Linked DNA regions of Macaca fascicularis. The protein of the gene in region 1 purifies or fractionates together with the protein of each later gene. This does not show direct contact. Links are inferred from orthologs where the notes say so. Each region holds a gene or a part of one and is shown on either strand. Other genes may lie near its edges.

What was found. The genes of interacting proteins can lie anywhere in the genome.
Region 2: the proteins of KLHL6 (region 1) and NUDCD3 purify together in Homo sapiens (affinity purification with mass spectrometry; 3 studies listed by BioGRID and IntAct, counting the BioPlex papers as one, with this or other methods). This does not show direct contact. The link is inferred for Macaca fascicularis from reciprocal best matches to the Homo sapiens genes KLHL6 and NUDCD3.

The regions. Positions count from the first base shown.
Region 1 is NC_088376.1:95,416,362-95,421,408, reverse strand, and holds part of KLHL6 (kelch-like protein 6), read left to right. Parts: intron 1-1,672; coding exon 1,673-1,910; intron 1,911-5,047. UniProt on the Homo sapiens protein: Involved in B-lymphocyte antigen receptor signaling and germinal center formation.
Region 2 is NC_088377.1:85,927,862-85,932,908, forward strand, and holds part of NUDCD3 (nudC domain-containing protein 3), read left to right. Parts: intron 1-2,709; coding exon 2,710-2,853; intron 2,854-5,047.

The DNA.
Region 1 (5,047 bases):
GAAGGCTGAGGCCTGGTTCCCAGAACTGAAGAAAGGGTCACAAGGGAATCAATTCAGGGAGGCCAGTACTGTTTTCTAAGCATTGCCCTGCAACACCAAAATCCCCACTGAAAGAGGACCGGATAGACTGGTGCTGGAGGTTGTGCCTCAGCTGTGGGGAATGGGGTTTAGGGACAGGAACCACGGCTGATAGCTGAAGAGAAAGTTGCAGAGCAGCAAAGTTTGTCTTTGGTGCCATTGCCCAGATCCTGTCCTGCCAGCTTGGTGCTCTCATGGTGCCTCCAAGTTCCCTGGCTCACCCCTTCACCCTTATCCCAGCACCGTTCTGCTGTCCACACTGTCAGGGCCAGCCCATTGCCTAGGCTTTGTCCAGTCACACCTATCCCCACTCTGCTGACCCATAAGGAACTGCCCTGCCACAAACTTTATGGCCATGGTCCAGCCTCAAGATCGGAGGATGCAGAATTCACCGTACCAGGCTCCTAGGCACAGAAAACCAACCAACCAGCCAAAGACTGTTATGGAAAATTAGAGGCTGGGAGTTGGCTGGTCTGATTATTTGTGGCTCTTGGTTGGATTCACTGTTTGAGGGCTCAGTCTTTGCTGCTGTAACCTATTTGTCACCACCTATGGGCAGAATCGGAGTTCTGTAGTCTGTGTTAAATCAGTCTAATTTTGTAGGAAAATTGGCGACTCTGGCCATCTGGGAAATGGTGGCTGCCTCTCTGCCTCCCATCAGCACACCTATGGAACCTTCATCATAGAGCCCAGGGGATCAATGGAACCAAGAAGGGCAGCTCTTCCTTTTATAGCAATATCAATATGGCATCTACCGCTGCTCCTACAGGCATAATTAGCTGTTGAGGGGCGAGTGTGTGCCAGGTGCTCTGTTCACACCTCTACCTCATGACCTTATGAATGCTCACAGTTATCTGAGAGCACAGAAATGATTACAAGCAGTCTACAGAGGTTGTGTTACTTCTCCAAGGTCACATGGCCACAGGTGATAGAACGCTGGTACATTTGACTTTCGAGCCTCTGCTCTTTCAGCAGGGTTCAAATACCCATAGTATGGATTTCTTCACTGGTTCAAAGCTCTGAAAGGTCATTTACTGTATGTTGGAACCAGCCTTCCTCCCTCCCTGGCCACACCCTGATTCCTTCTAGTTCTTGTTTCCTAAGTCACTGAATGCTCGTAGGTCATCACTGTCCAGGATGTCTCTTCCAGAAGGCTGATGGTGAGCAAAGTCTGAGGTCTCATCAGGAAATTAAAGCCAAGGGGGAATGGAAAGTAGCCCAAAATGAAATTCCAGGATTTAAGGTTTCAGACTAGGCAGGAGAGGAAAGGCAGGAAGGGCATCTGATGGTACGTAGACCCCAATCTCTTAAAACAGCAGCAAAAACAGGTAACACTGATTGAGTACCTGTTATGCACCAGGCTCTGGGTGAAGCACACTCTATACATTATCCCATTTAATCCTCACAACACACGTATGAGGTAGTTACCTCTAATATCCCCATTATACAATGATGAAACTGAGGCTCAGGGAGGTGAAGTCACATGGTCATACCATGGCAGATGTGGGAATTGGACCCAGCTCCTAATGGCTCCATAGCCCGAGCTCTGAAACTTTGTGTTGTCCTGCCTTTATGTGCCCACATTGATTTCCAGATCATTTCGGAGCGCACCAAGCCCAGGATGCATGAGTTCCAGTCTGAGGTGTTCATGATCATCGGTGGCTGCACGAAGGATGAACGGTTTGTGGCAGAGGTGACTTGCCTGGACCCCCTGAGGCGCAGCCGCCTGGAGGTGGCCAAGCTCCCGCTAACGGAGCATGAGCTGGAGAGTGAGAATAAGAAGTGGGTGGAGTTTGCATGCGTGACGTTGAAAAATGAGGTCTACATCTCAGGTAAGCTAGGAGTCATGTAAAGCCACAGCAAGCCCCAGTAGCACTACATATGTTCCTGAGTGGCAGCCAGGCAACCATCCTAGAATTACTGTGAATTGGCAATGATCTGGCTCTGACTGAGACAGGATATGGACCCAGGAGCTCAGGTGGTCTTATCTTGGAGGGTACATTGCTCCTTAATAAACACCAAACTGAGCAGCATTGTGCTATTCTTTTCTTTTCTTTTTTGAGACAGAGTCTCGCTCTATTGCTCAGGCTGGAGTGCAGTGGCACGATCTTGGCTAGCTGCAACCTCTGCCTCCTGAGTTCAAGTGATCCTCCTGCCTCACCTTCCCGAGTAGCTGGGATTACAGGTGCCCGCCACCATGCCCGGCTAATTTTTGTATTTTTAGTAGAGACGGGGTTTCACCATGTTGGCCAGGCTGGTCTTGAACTCCTGACGACAGGTGATCCACGGGCCTCGGCCTCCCAAAGGGCTGGGATTACAGGTGTGAGCCACCTTGTCTGGCCAGCATTAATAGAAAACCTAGAGAGGAGGCAGACAAGTCCAGTCCTTCACGGAAAAAGAAGAGGGAAAGTGGTAAGGGTTTATTCAGTGTCTGCTATAGGCATAGGCCCCTGAGCTACGCAGTGGGAATTCAGTAATGAGTAAACACGTCTGCTCTTCCCCCAAACCTGACCCCTCCCATGTTTATTAGGTTGTACTTGGGTATACTTCAGTAGGACCCAATACTTTTTCATTAGGAAAATGTTTGCTTCAGTATTGATAGTTACTTTGTGTCTGTCTTTCCCATTAGACCTGAAGTTCCATGAGGGGTAACACTATAGCCCCTGTACCTAGCACTGTGCCTGACCTCCGGGTAAATGTTCAGTAAATATTTGTTGAATGACACAGTCTCAACCATCTTTACTGAGTAGTAGATACATTTATACTTTAATAACATTTAATTGTTTGCCTCTCACATCAGCTCTGTAAGATAGGGGTTTTTAGGGTAGGAGAAAACAGAGGCACAGAGAGATTCTTGAACATACCTAAGGTCGCACACTGGTAGGTGTCAGGCAGGACTTCAACCCAAGTTCTGAGCCTAACGACCACGCTCTCCCCATCACATCAAAAGCCACTTGGCTCTCCCTGGGACCCTAAGGAAGGAGACAAGCTTCCCTTCCCCTTTCTTACAGGCTTTTCTCGAATCTGAACTTGTTGAGAGGAAAGCAGCACCCCAGAGCATGTTTCCTCCAAAATCAAGGACAGATCGTCCTTTGGATGCATTCATATCATTGATTAGGTTCTAGCTTTCTTTTCATCTTGCAGAAATTTTTTTTAATTTTTTTTTTTTTTTGAGACGGAGTCTAGCTCTGTTGCCCAGGCTGGAGTGCAGTGGCATGATCTCGGCTCACTGCAACCTCCAGCTCCCGTGTTCAAGCGATTCTCCTGCCTCAGCCTCCCAAGTAGCTGGGATTACAGGTGTGTGGCACCACATCTGGCTAATTTTTGTATTTTTAGTGCAGTCGGGGTTTCACTGTGTTGGTCAGGCTGGTCTTGCACTCCTGACCTTGTGATCCACCCGCCTCAGCCTCCCAAAGTGCTGGGATTACAGGTGTGAGCCACCACGCCCGGCCTTAATTGTTGTAGAAGATCCAAACAACGCAGAGCAAGTAAAGTAAAATAGGGCAGTTTCTCTGTGCCATCACAATTCTATGGGTTTTCATTTTTTACAAAAATTATTTTCTATTTGCTCAGGGTAAATAATTTTAGCTGCTGTTACAAATCCTAAGTCTCAGTGAATTAACACAATAGTATGCAGGGGTCAGGGGGAGGACGGTCTGCTCCATTCAGGTATTCAGGGGCCTAGGATCCTGCCATCTTGTGACACTGCTTCTTCCTACATGTGGACTTGATTTAGGGATGAGAAAAACGCTGAGGGAGTTGAGAAGTCACACCTGCTCACAAAAGCCTCAGCCTGGAAGGGCCATTGATTTTGCTCACGCTCCATTGGCAAAAACTAGCGACATGACCTCCCTTACCCTCCCCTCACCCCGTCTAGGTGCAGGGGGCTGAGAAATGTAGTTTAGCTATGTGCCCAGGAGGGATCAACAGGTGTGGTCATCATAGTCAGTCTTTGTCACATATACTACACGTGTTATTCTCTCTCTTTCTTTCTTTCTTTCTTTCTTTCTTTCTTTCTTTCTTTCTTTCTTTCTTTCTTTCTTTCTTTCTTTCTTTCTTTCTTTCTTTTTTCTTGAGATGGAGTCTCACTGTTGTCCAGGCTGGAGTGCCATGGAGAGATCTCGGCTCACTGCAACCTCTGCCTCCCAGGTTCCAGCGATTCTCCTGCCTCAGCCTCCTGAGTAGCTGGGATTACAGGCACGTGCCATCATGCCTGGCCAATTTTTGTATCTTTGGTAGAGAAGGGGTTTCACCATGTTGGCCAGGCAGGTCTCAAACTCCTGACCTCAGGTTATCCACCCACTTCGGCCTCCCAAAGTGCTGGGATTACAGGTGCCCACCAACATGCCTGGCTAATTTTTGTATTTTTGGTAGAGATGAGGGGTTCACCATATTGACAGGCTGGTCTCAAACTCCTGACTTCAGGTGATCTGCCTGCTTTGGTCTCCCAAAGTGTTGGGATTACAGGCGTGAGCCACCGCGCCTGGCCCAATTTTTTTTGTGTTTTAAGTAGAGACAGGGTTTCACCATGTTGGCCAGGCTAGTGTTGAACTCCTGACTTCAGGTGATCCGCCCACCTCAGCCTCCCAAAGTGCTGGGATTACAGGTGTGAGCCACTGTGCCCAGCCCACATGTTATTCTTTTGTCATAAATTTATTGTTCACTTTTTAATGATACAAGCAACACCTGAAAGCATGCTTGTTATACACAGTTAAATCAACAGAAACTTGTACTTCAATTAACAATATCATCTGGACATGATGACATGTTGGTTTAATGGATATACATATTAAGTGATATAGTTACTCATGAAAAGCACATCATGGGAGCTTAATTACGCTGGCCAGTATTATCACTACTGTTATTCTTTTTACCAGCTATATGGCAGTCTACCAAATGGATAAACCATAATTTTTTTAGCTTTCTTTTTTTTTTTAAATCTCCTTAAAAAATACTGCAGTAGGCATTC
Region 2 (5,047 bases), on another chromosome or scaffold:
GGCCCTTTTTTTTTTTAATACAAAAATATTTTTCTCCCATTCTCTTGAGTGTGGGACTGTATTGATGGGTTTGTCTACTGTGTGTCTGAAGTCTGCTCTTCCCACCACCACTGACAGCTGAGTGGATTGACCAGTCAGCTTTGCTTTACAGGACATGGGGTCTTGGCCATCCTAATGCTTGAGTGAGTAGGACTTCTCTTGACACACAGGCATCCACACTAGGTCCTCAGACTGCTGGTCAGTGTCTTTGGAGCAAGGTCCTCCATTCTTCTGTAGCAAACAGAGGGATTCCTGTCCCTTTCAATGGGGCATCCAGGGCCACAGCAGTTCCCACATGTGCCCCTGGCCTTGCTCCTGCCCTGCATACCTGCTGACTCCCAGCTAGAGCCCATGTAGCTGTGGCTTCTGGATGTCTCCTATGCCATAGAATTTGTCTCCTGTGTCCCTCCTCCTTTTGTCTTCCGCAGATTTGTTGACATCTCATCTGTTCCTGGCCTCCCTCTTCCCCTGTTTTCACTATCTGGGTTTTTTCTCTTCATGCCTTTTATGTCTGCAGGTCACAAGAGGTCAGAAAGTTGACTGTCTGTTCCCAGTGTGACATCTTCACCTGGGACCTCTGGAAGCATTTCTTGTCTGGTTTTCTACCTTGATGATTTGGTTCATTCCCCTGGGTAGGCAGTGTGAGAAGCTTCCCCAAATTTGGAAATTATGTTATATAGAGCTGGGTGGGAGAATTATATTTGTTAAGTGAGCTTGTTCTTGTGAAGGCAGGACCGAGGAGCCTTGGGCCCTCTGTGTCATGTTTCCATTGCACACAAGTTTATGGTTAGACATGATTTGGCCCAACATGTGTCTGGTTCATTTCAAGAGTGAGTGGATCTATTGTTCCATTTGCTCACGTTCCTCATGGTATTAGAAGGTCAGGAATGAAGCTCAGTTGCCTATTGTTCAATAGGACTAGCCAAGTAAATACCCTTTTCCATGGTAAATTCCCCTATGAAAGGTCATGCAAGTGGAATTGCGGTCTCATGAGAGGATGTTTCCTTGGAGTCTGCATGTGAACCTGGCAGAGCTGCCCATGCCTAACAGAATATCTTCACTGTGTCCTGCAGTGGGCAGCCTTCTGCCACCTTCTCCCCTCACTGCATGGCTCAGGAACTATCTTTCATTTAGAAACTATCTGATGGGCTGGATGTAGTGGCTCATATGTGTCATCCCAGCACTTTGGGAGGCTGAGGCAGTAGGATCGCTTGGGGCCAGGAGTTCGAAACCAGCCTGGGCAACAGCAAGACCCCTGTCTCTACAAAAAATAAAAATAAAATTAGCCAGGCATAGTGGCACTTGCCTGTAGTCCCAGCTACTTGGGAGGCTGAGGTGGAGGGATTGCGTCAGCCCAGGAGTTTGATGCAGCAGTGAGCTGGGATCACGCGACTGCACTCCAGCCTGGGCAATGCAGTGAGGCCGTGTCTCTTAAAGAAAAAGAAAAACTGTCTGACAGCAGTGACTCCTGCACATCATTTCTTCCATTTCCATTTTTTATTTATGAATATTTAAAATACAGGTAGGTTATGGTATTGTATTTCATTGGCAAATACTAAACTCCAGTTTGGAAAACCTATCAGTTTGGGTTGTCTTTTTTTCCAATCATTTTATAAGCATTTAATGAGTCACCTACCAGATGACATGGAGAGTAGCTTCCAAATTGTTTTTATTCCACATACCTATTAGAAAAAAGTTTTAAGTACTTGATCCCAGTGTCTTCTTAATGCATGCCTTATACAGATACAAAATGTAAATGGAAGTTCTGTTTTATTTCCTCTTCTAATTACTGACCTGTGAACCCCCTGGGGTACGCATACCCTGCTTTGGAGACTGCTGGCTGGAATACATGATATGAAGTAAAAGGAATCCTACTCCCAGCAGCTGCCAGTCCAGTTCTGGAGACAGACAAGTGGTGGGGTAGGGATAGGTGTTCCTAGGGCAGTGGGGAGGGCCATGGGGCCATTGTCTGCCTAGGACAGGCTCAGAGGGACGAAGGTGAGCTGAGGCTTTTAGAGGCTTGGTTTTGTAAAGAACCGAGACAAAATGCAAAACCATGTGGGGACGTTGGTGGTATAATGGTGAGCATAGCTGCCTTCCAAAATCAAAGGAATTGGTCTCATACTCTTGGATGAAGACCAGGCTATAGTCACCAGGCAGTGCAGTAGCTCACAGAAGGAAGAGGCGGTGCTTGTCTCTTGTACAACAGTCCTGGGGTAAGCAATTCAGGATGTGCAGCCCCGTCAGCTCTCTTGGTTGCTGTGGTCCAGGGCTGGGCTCCTGCATCTCCCAGGTAGCCACAAGGGGAGGCAAGGGAAAAATACTCACCGCTTGTCTCCTCTGCTTACTTTTTTGCGGTGACAATTGGTCTCCCTTAACTGGAGAAGGGAGAAGAAGATTGGGTCACAGCAGCTTCCACCATAGCACTTTATGTTACCAGTTATGCTGAGAAAGATTTTTTGGTGGATTTACCTACATGAGCTGACATCTGCAGGTTGCTCTAGGTATAAATTAGGCTGATACGGTTTTCTTCACTGAGATGCCTGGTGAGCCTGATGACAACGCTGTAGTGTGCAGTCAGGTACCTTGGAAACTGTCACCCCTCCCACTATACAGAACACCAGTGGTCACCCTGATAGGAGAGATGATTTTCTTCTGCTATGTCCTCAGGTCTCAGTGGCCCTTAGCAGCAGCTCCATTCGTGTGGCCATGCTGGAGGAAAATGGGGAGCGTGTCCTCATGGAAGGGAAGCTTACTCACAAGATCAACACTGAGAGTTCTCTCTGGAGTCTCGAGCCCGGGAAGTGTGTTTTGGTAAGTTTGGGCACCTGTGTGCAGGGTTCCCAGGTAGACGTCAAACCTGCAGTGATGCCCCTTTTGACCAACAAACCTGTTTACACTTAAGCAGTGAGGCTGTTAATTTCAGCTGCTAGGGCAGATGGGTTTTCCTGAGCATTTTCCAGACTGCTCAGAGATTGCCTCTGTGGGCACTTGAGCTTTGGCCCTTTGAGGTCTTGGTCGTTCCAAAGAGCTCCACTGTTATTACATCTAAGGCAAAAACAAGTAAATTGAAAATGAAAAGGTAGGTTGAATTTTTACAGATGCTACTCTGGAGGGTGCAGAGTTAATAAATTCAGAGAATCAGGCTCATTGACCAACTGGCTCTCCTTACCCAGCTGCTGGTTAGGCATTAGCTAAGAGTTCAGGACAGTAAGATTAAGGTGTGAATCCAAATGAACAGCTCGCATGTTACCAGTTAGCAGACTCACTCACAAATTGGGCTGCATGCCTGAACCAGATCTGTTGGTGTCTCACCTCCCTCTGCCCTATGAAAGCTTTGAACCCTGTCAGTGGTGGCTCTGTGCTGGTGCCCAAGTGGCGGTCACCTACAGATACATTGAGGCACAACATGTTCTGAATTAACTTGTTTCCTCTTTCCTCTTGCTGGGGTGCTTACAGGGCGTGGTAAAAGGGATAAAGGTGAAAAAAATATTAAGTCTGGACAAAAGTCTTTAGAATTTTATACAGATATATTCTTCATATGTGCAAAATATGCAATAAAGATATCTGTTTTGGTTGCTGTAAGACGTGCTTGACAGGCTTCTGCCTGGGCTTCCCTGGCCAGTGCTGACTGGCAGGGACAAACTATCTTTTGGGCCCACAGTGACTCTGTCCTGGCTGCCCTCATGCTCGGAGGGACATGCGGGCCAGGTACTGAAAGGAGGGTATTCTGTCAGTGCTGCAGGATCCTGAACCAACCTTAATTCCAGTCTTGATATCAAGCCTGGACGATGGAGTTCACTCTGGCTACACAAAGGTGGGGCCAACCTGGGCACAAACAGCATGCTCCTTGGTGCTGCGGTGGCCTCAACTGCTCCCTCTCCTAGTGAGCGTTTCATCCTAAACAGGGCCTCCTATTTAGGCCCTACGCGAGGCCGTATGTGTGGTGTATAGGGTTTCCAGCAGTGGGGCTAGGACTGACCCATCCCAGTTCAGACTCTCCTGGCCACCCAGGGCCTACCTCTGCTGATGGCCAGCGGCAGATGACAGTGGTTCTTGTTCTAAATCTCACCCTGTGTGCTCCCCTGCCTGTGGCGTTCAGTAGTCAAAGACCAGAGAAGTGTTCTTCTCCTGCCTACAAATACTGTGATGATCACCCCATCACCCAGCAGTTCAGTTCCTCATCCCCTGACCCCTGACATATAAAACCTATGCATTAATTACACAGCCTGGAGCCTTTTTCCAAGCTATGGGCTCCTGTGACTACTACCAGTTCCTTTCCTTTATGTCATATTTGACTTTGCAGATGCCGTTATGGCCTCTTCCTCACTTGAGCTTCACGTGGTTGTGGAGGTATGAGAGCATGAGTGATGCACTAGCAGTACTGGGGCTGGCTAGCTAGACCTCTGAAGGTGCAGCCCTGGCTGCCTGGATTGCACTAGTGAGCCCATGATCCTGGGGTTGCCTTCTCCATGGACTGAGAGGTCATGACAGCCCTGCCTTAAAACACTGACTTGATTCTCCTGCCTTCTGTTGGGTGAACTCAGTGCAGAGCATGGAGCAGGTCATGATGCTCTCATGTTGGTTCCCTCTGAGCGGGGAGCTCTTGTGAGCCTTCCCCATGTGGTCCGGTTGCACTTTGTAGATACTTCATGCAGAAGCCCAAAGCCTTAGTCACTGGTCTCTGAGCCCATAGCCACCGTATTTGGAATCTGTTGGGATTACAGTCAGGGTACCAATGTTTTACTGTACACTATTTGCATAAATATGTGATTATTAATACATAGCTCAACTCTTAAGGGTTTTGTTGACAGAAGTGACTCTAACTTCTTCATGGATATTTCAAAGCCATGTTTCTTTTTTGTGTGCGTTTTATACACTTGTATGTATAGTACAAGTGGAATAGGGATGTGGCTAGTGGCCAAAACATTAACTTCTTTTAATAATGGCTGCCATTCAATGAACGCAGTCTTTGGGCCAGGCTCTTTGTGAGGTGCCTTACAATGCT